Diceros bicornis minor: one gene and its partner. The protein of the gene in region 2 purifies or fractionates together with the protein of the main gene of each other region. This does not show direct contact. Links are inferred from orthologs where the notes say so. Each region holds a gene or a part of one and is shown on either strand. Other genes may lie near its edges. The genes, in order: ELMO1 and DOCK1.

Evidence for each region.
Region 1: the proteins of DOCK1 (region 2) and ELMO1 purify together in Homo sapiens (affinity purification with western blotting; 12 studies listed by BioGRID and IntAct, counting the BioPlex papers as one, with this or other methods). This does not show direct contact. The link is inferred for Diceros bicornis minor from reciprocal best matches to the Homo sapiens genes DOCK1 and ELMO1.

Annotation. Positions count from the first base shown.
Region 1 is NC_080742.1:60,602,310-60,610,277, reverse strand, and holds the start of ELMO1 (engulfment and cell motility protein 1), read left to right. Parts: upstream 1-4,238; 5' UTR 4,239-4,469; exon of another isoform or gene 4,470-4,663; intron 4,664-7,968. UniProt on the Homo sapiens protein: Involved in cytoskeletal rearrangements required for phagocytosis of apoptotic cells and cell motility. Acts in association with DOCK1 and CRK. Was initially proposed to be required in complex with DOCK1 to activate Rac Rho small GTPases.
Region 2 is NC_080745.1:89,363,160-89,371,928, reverse strand, and holds the start of DOCK1 (dedicator of cytokinesis protein 1), read right to left. Parts: upstream 3,305-8,769; 5' UTR 3,180-3,304; coding exon 3,134-3,179; intron 1-3,133. UniProt on the Homo sapiens protein: Involved in cytoskeletal rearrangements required for phagocytosis of apoptotic cells and cell motility. Along with DOCK1, mediates CRK/CRKL regulation of epithelial and endothelial cell spreading and migration on type IV collagen.

The DNA of each region.
Region 1 (7,968 bases), on a different chromosome or scaffold from region 2:
GAAAAAGAAAGAAAAGCAGGCCACCAGAAGTTTTGGAGAGCAGACTGGATCAGATATAGAGAAAATTAAAATGGGAGGAAACCACAGCCCAACACGCAAACAGAATATTTCTATGACAGAGGTAGAAGCAATTTGGGTCAAGGGCGCTCCGAGTCCAGTGTAAACACACATGGAGGCAGGAGGATGCCCAAGGGCACTCAGGGTGATTAACTGTGGGGCTACTCTGCTCCCTCCATCACCACTTTGCTAAGCGGCTCGTGGCCTTAGCCTCGTATCCAGGTGGAGCAGTGAATGTGAGCACTGGGGCTGAAGAGGCTGGGCTCCATTTAATCATTTAAATCTCCTAGAGAGGGTGCGACCACACACAGACATAAACTCCCAGGACCACCACCGGGCAGCCCGTCTCCCTCTTCCCCAGGATCATCAGTTGCAAGTTACAGATAACAGAAACAGCAGTGACAGGAGAGCAGAGAATCACATACGCCAAGTTAAGCACCCAGCCAAGGTGACATCAGTCTTCATTGAGTAACTATAACCTAAGGAAATAGAGTTCATAGGGCAAATAAAAGAAGAATTTGAAAGAAGTATCATTAATATCCTCACAGTAAATAAGAGAGGATATAATATCCATAACGTGAGAACAGCTGATGTCTTAGGTCAGGTTCCCCAGGGAACAGACTCTGAAACTGAGGTCTGCATGCAGGGTTGACCCCAGTGGCTCTGGAGTGCAGGTGTCTGTCTGCTGCCCGGACTTTGTTACCTCTGGTGTCGCAGCCTCCTGGAGCTGAGGCCATTTTCTCTGCCTCCAAGAGCTGTTCGTAGACTGGAGTCAAGCCAACATGAGCCTGATTCTAAGACAGGAAAAGAGAATAGATTCTTCAAGCTATAGATCAAGGAAGTTGAGGCTGATTGGAGTAGAATTCTGAAGCAAATTACTAAATGCATTACTAAATGCACAACGTCCATTTGAAGTCCAATAAGTTTTTTTTAATGAAGTAGAAATCAATATTTGTGCGCACTTAGAAAGAGTTGATCAACATGAGTCATCATTGATGAAAAATATAACAGGCCGTTTTTGCAGTTTGGGGTTTCATGGTGATATTCTGATAAACTTCCAGTTACCCCTCCTATCTTGGAGTTCTGCATACACAAGGAAGAATAAAGATATGGGAAACACAGGATCAAGGTACTAAAATATGGGAAATTTCCCCAAACACACCTCTCCAGCTGTCAACAATGCAAAGCCGTCTTGTAAGCACGGTTGGAGAGAGCAGGTTAGATTTGAGGGTCCACTGAGTTTTGTTCTCTAGCCAACTATCCCTACCCTACTTCCTCTTCTCCATCCTGAAACTGAGATGGGTGGTCCTGCAGAGGAGATCCTGAGTCCACTTCCCTACCACCCGAGATGTAGATGAGGCTGGCCCATCTGCAGAGTCTAAGCCCTGCCCAGGTGGACCCACTGCAAGTGCTACTGAAGGGCTGCACTTGGATTCCGGTCCTTACCCTAAAATGGCTGTCCTCTCTACTGCAGTGTAACTTAACAATTGAATGGTCCAGGTTTGACCAGAAGCTTAAATAACATCAGAGCGATGATACAGGCTCTCTCCCTCCCCTATGGGGAGAAACTGATATATGGGAAAAGGGAGGGTGTTGCTCTTTTTTTGGACTCTGTTAACATGACTTGTTGATCAGAGGACTGTTATGGATAATAATAGCTAAGCTAACGGTTATTGAGTGCTTCTATGTGCCAGGCCCTTTTCTAAGAACTTTGCATGTATTAACTCATTTAATCCTCACTCAACCCTCCCAGGTAGGTGTGGTTTTAATCCCACGAGTCAAGTCACTTGCATAGGGTAATGCACCTAGTAAATGCCAATGCTGGGATTTATACTCAACAACCAAGTCTAGAGATGGAGACTTTGTACATGACACCACCACTCTACTGTGCCCACTGCAGACCACCAGCTAAGCCTAGGGTAGAGGTGGATTTCTCTAAGGCATTTGACATCTCTAAGATATCCTTATGAATATAATAGAAAAATAAGGCTTGACAATTGCATAGTTAAGAGGGTTATTAGTAACTGAATGAACCAGTGAACCCAAAGTATGCTGAGCCCCACCACGGCAGAGGGAGCCCCTTAGTGGGGTGTCATCCAGGACTCTAGTGTTCTAATCTACTCTGTGGACATGGGGAGACACTGGATGCCTGAATCAAATCCAAAGAGACTTAGAGAAGGTGGACCCAGGGCTTCTGTCCCAAAGACGAACCCCATAAGCATGGATATGGCCTAACAGTAACATAGCAAGGAATTTCCAGTTTTCCCCTTGCACTGGGATCAACAGTGAGATGTATTTGAAAAATAACTGACAAGAGCTCAGGCTGTATTAATTGTTTTTAATGGTTAACTAGTCAATTAATTTTATGACAACAAATTTTTTTTTAAAGGGCAGAGACAGGTGTCCTTCAAGGGGAAAATGGCGAAGATTAGAGAGATTTGAAACCATCTCACATGAAGAGGAGTTAGAGTAACTGAGAATGTTTAATCTTCAGACGAGAATGTTTAGGTAGAATGCAATGGCTGTCTTCAAAGACCTGAGAGGTTATCTCTTGGAGGAAGGATGTGACTTACTCCATGTTGACTGCAGAGGGCAGAGCTGGGACCAAAGGTTACAGGGAGGTGGATTTGTCTAATTGCTGTTCAAGGAGAGGACACAGAGTTCCCTCTTTACTCTTGGGACAGTTATGACAGCTAACATTTACTGAGTGCTCATGATGTCTGCACTAATGTTAAGGTCTTTGTATGCCTTAGCTAAAACGTTGTGGGTCAAATTCATACTTATCATTACAAGTATCTCATAGCATCCATTTACTGACTGCTTATTAAATTACCTCATTTGATAGTTGCCCTGTTGTCTGTTATTATTATATCATTACAGTTTTACAGATGAGGAAATAGAGAAAAGTTACTTTCCTGGAATCATCCTGCTTTAACTTATCAGCTTATAACGATCTGGACCTAAGTATTCCTGCTACTAATACTGCCTCTGGAAGTTATGCATATAATAAGGGGTCAGATTGGGGCTGTTCATTAGAAATATAATGTGAGCCACTAATGAGATTACTAAAGTAATCTTACTTTTTCTAGTAGCCACATTAAAAATGAAAAAGAAATCAGTGAACTCATTTTAAATTGTATATATATATAATATATATATTTATATCTTAACCCAATACATTAACCCAATTGACTCATTACGTCTAAGCTACTATCATTTCTTGAAATGATGTAATCAACATTAAAATTAACACGCTCTTACATCATTTTCCACATTAAGCCCCGTGTCTGTTTTACACTTACAGAACATCTCAGGACTAGCCACGTTTCAAGCGTTCAATAGCTGCCTGGAGCTCTTGGCTGCTAATGGACAGCCAGAACAGGGTTAAAATTGAAATCTCCTCTGGGGGGTGTTGAAACTTAAAGAGAAGCTTTGCCTTCCACCTTAGATTCGAATGCTTCCCTGCTCCCAGCTTACCTTCTTTCCCAGTCTGAGGGAAATGCATAGCGACTGCCTTTGCCTTTTCTGGGAGAGCCAATGTAGATATTTATGAATTTGGAGAGGACAGGTGTTTCTCCTGCAACCTTCCAACAACTGTCATTTCCCTCCTAGCAGCTAGGCCGGGAGTTAGCGTGCTTGATTTCTGCTTGGAAAGTGACTGAAGTAGGTTGCATGAATTAAGTGATGTACCCTAAATACCAAGTTGGGGGTAGAACATCTTGTTTTATGTAAAGTTATGTAAAATTAGGGAGTCCTTGGCTTAATTGATTAGAAATAAATCCTGTAGTCGGTAAATGCATAAGTGACTGTGAGCGGAGGAAGCATTCTGTTGTCATTTTTGCCACGCTGTCCAAAGGTAGAGGCACAGCGTCAAAACAAATACACAGCCTCTTAAAGTAGCCTTGAAACAGCCCACGGAAGTTTCCCCCCAAAATTCCAAACCAGTTGCCGAAAATGAAAGCATCTAAAAAGATGCCTCGCGCTCTCGGCCTCCCGGAGGTGGCGCTATGAGGGTGACGGAGTTAATTAGTGCCTGCAAAACGCTCGTGTGAGCTCATCTGAGAAGTCATGATCTGCACACATATTATTTATAGCAGATCTGAGGCGTGCACGGTGTTTGACATTTTCTTCTTTTTCAGTAGGGGGACTTCAAAAAGTCGTGGGTACCCCCCAGGCAAAGTACAGTGGGCAGGCACCAGGGCGCGGGCGGGAGGCGAACGCTCAACCACGCGTGTCCGGGCGCAGGTGCCGGGGGCGGTGGCGGCCACTCCGCAGCGCCGGCTCGGGAGGAGAGTTCGCGGCTGATCTCGGGATGGCTTGCAGATGCAAAATGTGTCTCTGGCCAGCAGGAGGAAGGAAGAGGAAGTGAAAGCAGCGGCAGCCGGCGGCGCAGCAGCCGGCCGACCCGGAGTGTAAGTGCGTGTGTTCGGGCGAGCGAGAGCGGGCGAAGATGGGCACGGGATAGAGGCAGAGCCACCCACACCGCCGCGGCCCCGAGCTAGGCGACAGAATCTCTGGCCCCCTTTCAAAGGTCGCTGGTCGTCAGAGCCCTGATCGCTGGGAACCCTCGCCGCCGCCGCCGCCGCCGTCCTGAGACCCCGGGCAGGTTCGTAAAGTTTCCTGGGCTGGCGCCGCGCCCCGACTCGCTGACCTCAGCGCGGCCGGGGAGGAAGCTGGGGTTGGGGCAAGGAGGAGGCGTCCTGCTCTGGGGGACGCTGGGCGCCGTGGAGACACTTTTGTTTCCTCCCTGGGGGCGCCGCGGCTCGGGCGGAGGTGGCCGCGGCGCCCTGCGGGATGAAGGCTGCGGGCGCACCAGGGCGCTCCGCAGTTGGGGGAAGTCTGGGCAGAGGGGGGCGGCTGGAGTGGGAGTAGAAGAGGAGGGAGGGGGCGCTGGGGATGGAGCGCGGGGCCCGGGAAGCCGCGGAGATGTTTCGGCCAAGGCCGGCTGGAGGGGGCTGCCGGAGGGCTGCGCAGTCAGCGCTGGGGGACTGTGGACAGAGAGAGTGTGGGATTGCGGGCTTGCAGAACTGAGAGGCTGCGCTGGAGAAAGGATTGGCGGCTCGGACTCCCGGCTTTTCTCTGGCACTCGCAGATGGGAGGGAATCCCCCGGCGACCGCGCTCCTTGGAGGGGGCGATGATGGGCTAGAGGGATGGAGGGCCCGGAGGGACGGAATGGGATGGTTAGGGCAGCTGGGAGTCCCGGGGGCCACTGTTAGTAAATACCCGCCTCCCGGGGACATTTCAGGGTCCCCGCCGGGACCGGGAAAGACGGCAGGGGCTTCGATGGGAGATCCTGGCATCGAGGAGGGGGCGCACTGGGCGCGCCTTCAGAGAAGGGGGGCAGCGGAGCTCTGGGGGCCCTAGAATCCGAGCGGAGAGGGGCGGCCGAGATCGATAGAGTTGCTTTGAGGAAGAGGAAATACAGAACTCAGCCGGCCCGGGGGTGCGCGCGTGTGTTTGGGGTTGGGAAGTCCGCGTTGTGTCGCGGGCGCGCGCGAGGGCGGCGAGAGTGAGCGTGTGTGTGTGTGTGTGTGTGTGTGTGTGTGTGTATGTATGGGTGATCGCAAGGGTCTCCGGAGCTGGGGACTCCCGCCGAGTGACCCTCTCCCGCCTGGGGGCAGTTTGAAGTTGGCAGTTCAGGGCAGGGGTGGTTGGCGGCTGGACCTGTGTTGACCTGAAGCCTCAGGACTTGGACCCCTGGAGGGACTCGGCCTCTGGACAGCTCCTGTGACTCACCGAGCATATTTTGTGATGCCCTGTGCCCCAGACCATGGGCCTGCTAACACTGCTGGCCATAAATGATGCGAATCTAATTCGTTTTGTTTAAGATTTCAGAGAACCTAAGACAAGGTTTCTGCCTCCAGAGGCAGAGGCCGCGGGCTTCCCGTTTGGCCCTGCCAGTGACTTGCGGGTGGGGTGGGTGGGGCTGTGGAAGAATTTTTGAGGTTTTTTTTGGTCCATAAAATAAAAGTAATTAATGACCTAGACCTGTATATCAACTCTTTGAGGGTAACTTTGGGAACTAGAGGGCTCTAACCCCTCTCAGGTTTACTTTTACATGGAAAAGGCTGGAAGCAGCTGTTATTAAGGGCCTCCTCTGGTCATGGTTTTTCGTGTTATCTCACCTCCATACCTGCTTTCCAAGGTCGTTTCAAGGATCATTGTCCCCCAGTTTTCAAAACTGGGAACTATAAGTTAGAAGGCCAGATGTCCTGCTGTCACATAGCAGACTTTTTCTTATAGCTGACCTTCTGAACCTCTGCTCTTTTCTGTGGTACATTTCCTCTCTCTTGAGGGCTGTGGTTAAATGTGCATGTTGCCTTCTTTTCTACTACATTTATTACTCATTTTTTTTTTTAATTAGATGGACTGGTTGTCTTCTTGGGAAATTGTGAGGGAATGACCTGGAATGTTGGAACTCTGCAGGGCAGATGATGTCAGGAGGGAAGGGAACTGGCTCAGAAGCTTGGTAGGTGTCAGGGAGGGGCACGCTGGGAGGCAGGCCCAGACCTGGGTCTGATGGAACTCAGGACTTGGAGCAGTCATTGGGCTATAGAACCCGTGGTCCTATTGATGGCCATATCCACACCACACCCCTCCAACCTTCCCTTGTCTCATCTCTCTGCCCTTCTTAACTGCAGCCACTCTGACTACCTTACATTTTTCTTTTTCACCAAGTTCTCTCCCCAGGGCCTTTGCACATGTTATTCCTTTTGCACAAGGAGATTATCCCCACATGTCCAGACGGCTCACACCCTTGCTTCCTTCAGGTCTCTGTTCAGTTGTCTTCTTACAGAGGGCCTTCCCTGATTACCTCGTATAAATTTTCCGTCTTAGCACTAATTAACCCCTGGCATTATATATTCGTTTATTTGATTATTCTCTGTCTCCCCCGTTAGAATGGAAGTTCCATGAGGGCAGGAACCTTGTCTTGTTTAGAGGTCCAGAATCTAAACTGATTCCCAGCATAGCAGGTGCTCAATAAATACTTGTTGACTGACTGAAGAAGAGGTGCTTATTATGGGAGAGGCTCACCAAGGAAATATACCAGGAAAATGTTGCAGCATCAGCAGCAATTAAGAACCCCAGGTAACGGGCTTTTACTTTTTCTCCTCTGTCTTCTCCCCCATGCCCAGCTGCCCATCTTGCAGACCCTTTTCTGCCTTCAGGAGACTCTTCCTGTAGAAGTTCAGACCGAAGAAAGGAACAGAGAAGTGATTCCTTGGGAGAGTGGAGAACCATTACACTTTGTTAATTACGCATACCCTCTCCAGATCTGGTGTTTGTTTCATCACTCTTCTTAGAGAAAGTCTTTTCTCTAAGCGCGTGTTGCTTTAGCCAAAAAAATGCTCCCCTAGGAAGAAGGGCATATTGTGAGGGGAGTGAAACCAGAGACTTTCATGTACCCTACCCTGCTCTCCCAGCAGATGGAAGTGAAGGCAGAGGAGGAGAGATTGTAAGGGAGGAAGAAGCTGGGTGGCAGAGGCAGGGGAAAAAGAAGATAAGAAATGCCTAGGAGAAGACAAATGAAAGAGAGAAAACAGGTGAGGGGTTTCTACAGTGCTGCTCAATCAAAAGCGTTTATTAAATTATGGTATTGAGATAGGACAAAGCTGAGTGTTTTAAAGTAATTTACTCCCCTATGGGTGTTTGGTGTGAATGGGTGGGGAGAGGTGGAGGAAGGGAGTGCTTTGAAGCCCTTGCAGAGAGGATGTGGCTGGGGGTGTGCCAAGGGGCTCCGCTGAGCGCACACTTAGCTTACATTATCATCTTTCTTAACTCTAAAGGTTTAGAGGTAATCATTCCTATGGAGGACATTTCCTGTCCGGATCTAAGACAGTGGGTGCCCTTAAGGTTTGTAACTGAAGCCTGCAACCACTTTTTAATGCCTGAAACCATCCAAGTGGATA
Region 2 (8,769 bases):
CAAACAATGCTTCTAACAGAGTCCAAGTCCTCGCAAACAATGAGCTGTGATTCATGTTTCCAAATGAGATGGAGTTTTATCATTTTCTTTCCCCTCGTGATTCATTCATTGCCCAAGTCAGTGGCCAGAGTGGAAGCGTGGCCCACCCACAGATCCACCAGAAACCCTCTAGGGAAACAGAGCCCTGTTGTTAGGCTCCCCAAAAAAACACTGTGGTTGGTAAGGGGGATCTCCAGTAATTTTCCCTTAGGCAGAAACAGCCAAATAGCTAATGGGAATGAATCCCTACATCCCAGCACTTACATCTCCCCAGTCCACACCCTTCTTGAGGACAGTGGAATCCTCCCAGTGCATCCCAGACACATGGGAAGCCTGGGATGACCCCAATGCAAGCACCCCAGCCTTCCCTTCTGCCCAAAATCGGTCCAGGCCCGTCTGCCCTCCCTGAAGGGGCTCTAGTCATTTAAAGCTCTTTCTGATGCTGAGTGAGTTGTGCTGTCTTATTTCCACCCAGTTCAGCTGCCTCATCTCGAGCTGGTGAAACTAAGCAAAACAGCCCCCTCTCCTCTACCTGACAGCCATTCACAGCCTTCCTAGACATGCCTGGCACAACCATCCAGGATACTTTTCTTTGGAAACTTTTCAATACAAAGTTTTCTTAAAACCAAAGTATTAGCCAAAGGTGTGATCTTAGAAGTCACTGCAGTGAGTGCCAGGGAAGCTTCTGCAAGGCATGTGACTTGATGGGGAGGAACACAGCCACGTTCTTGCCCACAGCCGCCTGCCCAGTGAGGAGACCCTGCTCGCTCTATCCCTGAACTTACCCTTTGGTCTTCTCTAGACACAAGGGTCAAGCCACTCTATAGGTGTCCACACTTACAGTGTCCTCACTGACACCATCAGGTCACCCTGGGAGCAAAGGAAAGGCATCAAAGTGTCTTAGGATGTGGTGCTGCTCCAAAGAGAAGCCCCTCCCCCTCTCCTGGTGCACAGAGTGGGGGAGAGCGTGAACTCTAGAGCCACAGGCAGGGTTCAAATCCAGGAAGTAGCACTTACAAGTGGTGCGAGAGAGGGCAAGCAATTTATCTTCTCTCTGCCTCTGTAAAATGGGAGTGATGGTAGTCACCACTGCCCAGGACTGAGAGGCAAGCCCTGGGCCAGAGCTAGAGCTGCTACCTGCCTACTCTGCAGGGCAGTGGGTCACCTGCTCCTCTGCTTGCCTCCTGCCTCTCCGCAGTCCTCCAGCTCCTCCTCCATCTCTCGGTGCTGTGTTCCCTGCGGATCTGTCCTCAGCTCTCTCCTCATACACATCACCCCAGCAGGCTCACCACAGCCCGGACCCCCACTGCCGCCACACCTGAAGCAATCTCAGCCAGCATCTCCACCCCAAACCTCCCTCATCAAATGCAGATTAAGGAGGACCTTTCTATCAGGATGTGCCGCGGGGCTGAATCCATGTGGAGGCGCATAGGGTGCACGCTCAGCACGCAGTCAGAAAGCCCACCTCTGCCGCTACTCTTGGTGCATGTCTGAGCCTCAGTTTCCACATCTCCAGAAAGAAGGTTGGAAAGGAGCTCAGCCATAGTGGTCCTGAAGCAAGGAGGGCCCTCTGCTCCCCGGTATGGAACAAGCCATCGTGGGCTCAGAGGGGTACCCAGTCTCAGGACTGTTCCCAAGGCCACTGTCCAAGCCAGCTCCACTGCATGTGGCTGACATGTAGCAAAGATAAACAACCGGAGTCACAGAGAGGAGAGCCCCCCGGGGCTGGAGCCACCCAGGAGGCTTCCGGAAAGTCAGAGGGCCAGGACTGAAGCAGACCAGCAGTGGGCAAGACACTCCTGGAGTCGCCACGGGAGTGCGCGGGCTCAGAGACAGGAGGACAGGAGGGCTGCGGGAGGGGAGCGGGGACCCTGGGGGGGCACAACCTGGCGGCAGAGGGGAGGCCAAGGTCACAAAAGGCCTTACAAGTCAGGCAGACAGTCTGGCCTGGGTGGGGAGGTGGTCCACCACTTTGGATTGAGAAGCAGGAGAAAAGTGAGACTAAAAGCCACCGGGAAGATCCGGGGATCCCGGAGAGCAGCCGCGGCCAGACCGGGGCCCGGGGTAGGCCAGTTCAGAGAAGGCAAGAAGCCACAGGCCTCGGCAGGCCGGGCTGCGGACCCCTGCGGAGGACGGCAGAGCGGAGCCGGGCTGGGGGCCTGTTTCTTTGCCGTTCAAGAAAGCCTCGCTCTCTGGAATGTGTATTCACTCCGTTCGAAATGTAAACTTGCAACCCGAGTCTCCGTACTCCCCTCAGGAAACGACAAAGAGCAGCGGAGCCAAAACAGGTCCCCGTCCTCCCAACGCGCTCTCCGGGCCCCGGGGCCACCAGAGCGCTCAGCTGCTCCGCTCCGAGGGTCCCGCACGGCCCAGGGCACGAACCCCAAGTGGGGGGAAGCGCGCTCGGCCCGCCCGGGTGGCGCACGCCACTTCCTACTGGGGGAGACCACAATTCTTCGCTTTGATCATTGCAACCTGAAACCGTCCACATGAGCCCCAGACACTGCACAAAACTTCATACAAAAAGCAAAAAGGCGCGGCAGAACAATGACGCCGGGCTTCCCGGCCGGGCCCAGCCAAACTCAAGGCTTCGGCCGCGGGCAGAATGGGACCTCCGAGTTAGGGGCAGCCCGGGAGGCTGCAAGGCTCCGCCACTGGTGTGCCCGCCCGAGAACTGGATGTCGGAGAGGACACCCTCGAAAAGTGGCACAACCCGCCCCTCACCCCCGCGTGTCCCCGGCCCGGCTCGCCCGGGCTCCAGTGGGGGCGCGGGGCCAGCGTGCGCCCGGGGTCCGAGCGGGCAGCGCCCGCCGACGGGGCGCGATCGGGCACTCGGCCGGGCGGCGCGGGCGCGCGGGGCGGAGACGCGTCTTCCCGGCCGCCCCGGCCACTCTGCATCCCGCCCGCACCGCCCGGGCCGGCGGCAACAGGCTCCGGGCACCCCCGCCCGCCGCCCGCGCCCCGCCGGGGCCCCCGGCCGCCCGGAGCGCCGCGCCCCGAGAAGTTGGGGCAAGTGGCGGGGCGGCGGCGGGGACGCGGGCGGCGGCGGCGCGGGACAGGCCTGGCGCGAGGTGGGGCGGCGCGCGGTGCTCACCCACGCCGTATTTCTCCTCTCTCTTGGTGGGCACCCAGCGCGTCATGGCGCCGCGCGCGGCCCGAGCCCCAGGCCACCGCGAGAGCCGCCGCCGCCGGTCGGGCAGGAAACTCCGCGCCTAGGCCGCCATTTTCCATTCCTTTCGAGCCGCGACAGGATGGGGAGGAAAAAGTTTGCGGCGGAGGCGGTGTCATGTGGGACGGGGCGGGCGGAGCGTCGCGGGCCGGATGGGAAAGGCCGGGAGCTCCGGGGAGAGGCGGGACGGCCTCGGGCTGCGCGCCCGCCCTCGCGCGCTCGGACTCGGCTGCGCTCCACGCCCGGGGACCCCGCGGCCGCCGCCGACCCAGGCCCAACGACCGCTCCGCCCCTGGATCCCGGCGCGCCCCATCCTGTCCCCACATTCCCGGCCCACGGACACCCCCGATGGAGCACCCCCCGCAGGGGCCTAGTCTTTTCATTATCCGCGGAGTTTCCTTCAATCAGTGAGCCCTCCTGGGGACTGGGTCTCATACAATGAGAGGGGTGCGCCCCCGGGGGAGAGGGAGTTCTATGAGATTTATGAAGTGTGTGGTTTGTACAGCACGGGAGTTAGACGGGCGCCTGGTGATGTAAGGTCCCCAAATCAGATTCCGCCTTGGTGGAGAGTCCTGGAGCAGAGCCAACCGGGAGCTCCACTGGGAGGAGCCTTCCAGAGCACGTGGTTCATTCTTTCATTTGAAGGACTTGAACTGAGCACCTACCCCGTGCCCAGGTGTGCTAGGGGGTGTAGGGGGTGATGCGTAAAGGTAACAACAAATAGGTAGGCCAGCTTTGAGTGCTTGGGCAAGGACACCCAAGGTGAGGGGAAGAGATGGTGCAGTGCTGGTGAGGGAGTGTTTTCCAGGGAGGTGACCTCTGGCTTGAGTGCTGGATGAGTGGAGCTACCCAGAGAGGCCAGGAGGGAGAGGCAGACGGAGCCTGCTAAGGCCCCGAGGCCTCAGCCTCCTTGGGCTTGCAGAAACTTCTGCTGGTTCACTGGGACTGGAGGACTGTGAAGCGGGAGAAGAGAGGAGGTAGGATTGGTGCTGGCGGGGAGAGGATACTCCAGGCCAGGCCTAGAGCAGACACACATGACTTCTTAGGAGCTTCTTCACGCAGTAGGTGAGTTCTCAGACTCGCCTGTTTCCCATGCCGGTAACAGATGGCGCTTCGGAGTTTCCAGGGAAAACTTTAAAACAACACACACACCTATTTATTTTTACCGTAATTTTGGAAAAGAATAGAAAAATTAAAACCAAGAAATGGAGGAGGAAGGAGACAGCCTCGGAAAGAAGGCAGTCCACTAAATGGAGGAAGTTTGGCTTCACGGACTATTAACCGGCTGTCCTCCTCTCTCTCATGCCCCCAAGAACTAGTGACAACAGCAGGAGGCCCGGAGCCTTCAAGGATTGGAGGAAAGAAGGTAAAAAGATGGAAGGCTTCCGTGGGGTAGGGACAACGCTGGGTGGCAGAGCTGGCGAGGGGGCCAGTGGGGCCTGGGAAGGGCCAGATGGGCCATCATTTTGCTGCAGAGATTGCCCGTCGCCTGCCTTCGGGGATGCTCTGAGCCAGGGAAATCTCACCATTCAACCCAGAATGCAGAGTAAATAAACACTGTGGAACGTCCCCAGAGCTCGTCAGTTTGGGTGGATGAGAAGAAACCTACTGTATACAAGAGGATACAGTGCCATTGCCTTTGACTTGAGAGTTTGTGATAATCGACCACAGATTCACAGAAAGTCACAGGCCTTGTTTTATTGATAAAGAACTTAAGTCTCACAGAGGGAAGGTGACTGGGTTCCAGTCTCACGCAGCCTCATGCGTGCACTTAAAGCCTTCTGTGGAAATTAGAAACTTCAGGGGCGGGGCCAGCCCTCCCTGTGGTGTAGCAGTTGAGTGTGCGCGCTCCACTGCTGGCGGCCCAGGTTCGGATCCCGGGCACGCACCGACACACTGCTTGTCGGGCCATGCTGTGGCAGCGTCCCATGTAAAGTGGAGGAAGATGGACACGGATGTTAGCTCGGGGCCAGTCTTCCTCAGCAGAAGAAGAGGATTGGCATGGATGTTGGCTCAGGACTGATCTTCCTCACAAAAAAAAAAAAAAAGAAAGAAACCTCAGGGGCTCAGGCCCTGAACCCATGGCCTGGTGACTTGGACCTCTTGAAGGAGAAGCAACTGTAAAGGTGCTGTACAGGAGAACTAGGGTGCTCCAAGACAAATGACATGGTGGCCTGACCTACCCTAGGTCAAGATGGGCTTCCTTGAGAAAACAATGTAAGCCCAGACTTTAAGGATAAGCAGAAAACTAGATAGGTGAACTACTGAGGGAGCAGCATGTGCAAAGCCCCTGGGGAGGCAAGGCACACACAGCCTTCAAGGAACTGAAAGGCCAGTGTTGCTGAAGCATAGGGAACAACAGGAAAGTGGCACAAAATGAGCCTGCAGTAGAAGGGCTTTCTAGGTTTTGCCAGGAATTCAGAATTCTGCAAAGAAAACCTGGAAAACAAATTTTGGTGATCTTTTCCTTCTCTTTTATGCCCAATTTCAATTCTGCTTGTGTGGCTACCCGTTGGGGAAGATGGCATGTTGTAGCAAAAGACCAGGGGCTTGAGAGCCATGCAGACCTCGGAGGCCTGGCCTTGCCATTGCCAGCTGTCTGACCGTTCTCCTTCCATTTGGGGCCATTTTCTGTTTCTAAGCCTTCAGGTTCTGACATCCCTACATATAAAGTAGGGACGATGCTACCAACCTCATTCTGAGAGCTGTTCTGAGGATCACAGGAGAAGATGCGTCTGCACAGCTAAGACATTGTAACTGTGGTTGGCTTTCTCTGACGCTGCCTCCTCTTCGTTTGATGAGCTCAAACATTCACATTTTCTGGAATAGTCGCCACTTTCGTGCTGATAAAAGTGACCCACTGAATATATAAATAAATGTGGTGTGGAATTGTGTACTTCTGTAAGACTGTCATATAAATAAATTTCTAAATCAGAGCTTAAAAACTCCAGATGGAGCATGGACACTGTGTTTGAGACACTGAGGTTTTGCCTTATTGTGACGTGTGCCCAAGCTTGGCTGAGAAGTTGTACATGCGGCCGCAGTCCTTGCAGCCCTGAGGAGGTTCGTCAGCATTCCCTGGCTGACCCCGGCCATGGCCTCGTCTTGTGGCTCTAAATCGAGTCCATGGCCCTGGCTCATTGCCCTGTGGTTGCCTGAGCTTGGGACTGGCTCCACCTCCGATTCCAGGAGCCCTGGGGTTTGGTCAGTTGGCATTTTTAACTCCTGAGTGGACATGACTGGGCCACAGATCTCAGCAATATCTCAGGCATCGTGCAGGACTTGGGTCTGCACCATGCTTGCAGGTGTGACCCGCCCAAGAGCACTGGGGCTCCCAGTGACCCAGTCCTAAGCATCAGTGGGAGGTCAGACTAGTGACTCCCTCCCAAGATAGGGCAGAATTTTGGGATGGAGCAAAAAAAACCAAAATCGATATTATAGTTTTGGTTTTTTTTTGTTTTGTTTTATTTTTTTGTGAGGAAGATCAGCCCTGAGCTAACATCCACGCCAATCCTCCTCTTTTTTTGCTGAGGAAGACTGGCCCTGGGCTAACATCTGTGCCCATCTTCCTCCACTTCATATGGGACGCCGCCACAGCATGGCCTGACAAGCGGTGCGTCGGTGCGTGCCCGGGATCCCAACCGGGGCCGCCAGCAGTGGAGCGCGCGCACTTAACCGCTACGCCATGGGGCCGGCCACGATATTATAGTTTTAAATTTTGAAAAAAATTTTTTTTTAATTTGAAAAAATTTTCCATATTCACGTTGCACACTCAGGAGGTAAATTCAGCAAAATCTTCCTTGGGGGAGATACTAGAAGGCACAGTGAGGGGCGGGGCATGTTCATCTGGGGGCAAGGGCACAGATGAGAATGAGAAAGGGAGGGATGGATTTTGCACACTTCAAACAGGGAGTGACCGCAGGCTGCTGGCCAGCTGAAAGGGAAGGAATGTGGTCTTGCAGGGAGGCGTCTAATAGCTGCCCCCTTTGACCCAGTGGCAGATCTTGGCATCCTATTAGATGACCAGGCCTGTGGTCACAGCACACAATGTCACACAGCACAAAATGTGTAATCAAGACTTTAGACGGAACTTGCAGTTCACAGCAAATAGAGGAGATTGAGGAACAAGTTGAACACCACAAGGAATATGGTCAGACAAAGCTGGGAGGGAGGACCTTCTCTAGGACACTGGTCTAGTGTCGTCAACAAGTCGATATTATTGAAAAAGAATATAGGGCTGGGAGAGAACTGTTCTAGATTTTAAAAGACTTAAGAAATATAACATTCAAATGCAATGTGCGGTCCTTGACCCAATACTGGCTGCTAACAGACCAATTCTAAAAGACGTTAAGGACAACAGGGGATTTTAACTCAGGACCAGTATTATATAATATTTTTAAATTATTATTTATTTTGCAAGGTGTAATAATAGTGTTATCGTGGCTATATCGAAAATGTGCTTGTATTTTAGAGATGCGTGCTGCAGTGTAGAAGTGAACTGTCACTGTGTTTGTCATTGACTTTATTACAGCAAAAACAAAACGAAACGAAGCAAGAGTGGTCAGTCTAGGTGTTGGGTCTGTGAGTGTTTCATCTCTCTACTTTTTTTATATGTTTGAAATTTTTTATAAAATAAAGTGAAGGAAGGGAAGCGCTTGAGATTTAAAAACCAGTTTGAGAAGCAGAGGCCTGGCCTGGCTTCACCCTAAGAGCTTGGGCCCTGCCTCACCTCCAGATGCACTGCTCAGCGCTCTCTGTGCAGGTTATTACAGCAGACCCTGGGTGTTCAACTTCAACCAGCTCCGCAGAGCAAATATGTTGTTCAGTAGAGGATGCTGCCTGCTGTGCTAATGTGCCTTGTGGGCAAATGTGACTGTGAATGTAAATGCAGACCAAGCAGTCCTTCCCACACTGAGCACACACAGCAATGAGCTCTGGAGCTGGGGGCCGGGGCACCTGCAGGAGGCGGAGGTCCTAGAATGGAAGGAGCCCTGGATCTGGGTTGCAAGGCCTGAGGTGGTCAAGGCCTTGCCCCTGGAGGCTGGATGCCCTCAGGGTCCCCTTCGGGGCCTCAGTATCCTCAGATGGTGCAGGGTGGCATTCACAAAATCAGCCAGACACGTGACCAAGACCTTGGCAGCTGTCTGACTCTAGGAAAGTTACCTGGCTGCTCTTAAGTTTCCTTGTTTTTAAAATAGTCTGACTGGGCCGGCCCCGTGGCTTGGTGGTTAAGTGCACACGCTCCGCTGCTGGCAGACTGGGTTCGGATCCCGTGCGCGCACCGATGTACCACTTCTCCAGCCATGCTGAGGTCGCATCCGATGTACAGCAACTAGAAGGATGTGCATCTACGACATACAACTATCTACTGGGGCTTTGGGGCAAAAAAATAAATAAAAAAAAAGAAAATAGTCTGACTGCTAGGAAGTCATGAAGATTTAATGAGATAATGGCAGAGCTTAACACTGGTAGGCATTCCAGATGAAACAATGGTTTCCAGATATCAGACATGGGGTGGTACGGGGCTGTGATCCCTGAAAGAAGGGAAACAAATGAGCTGA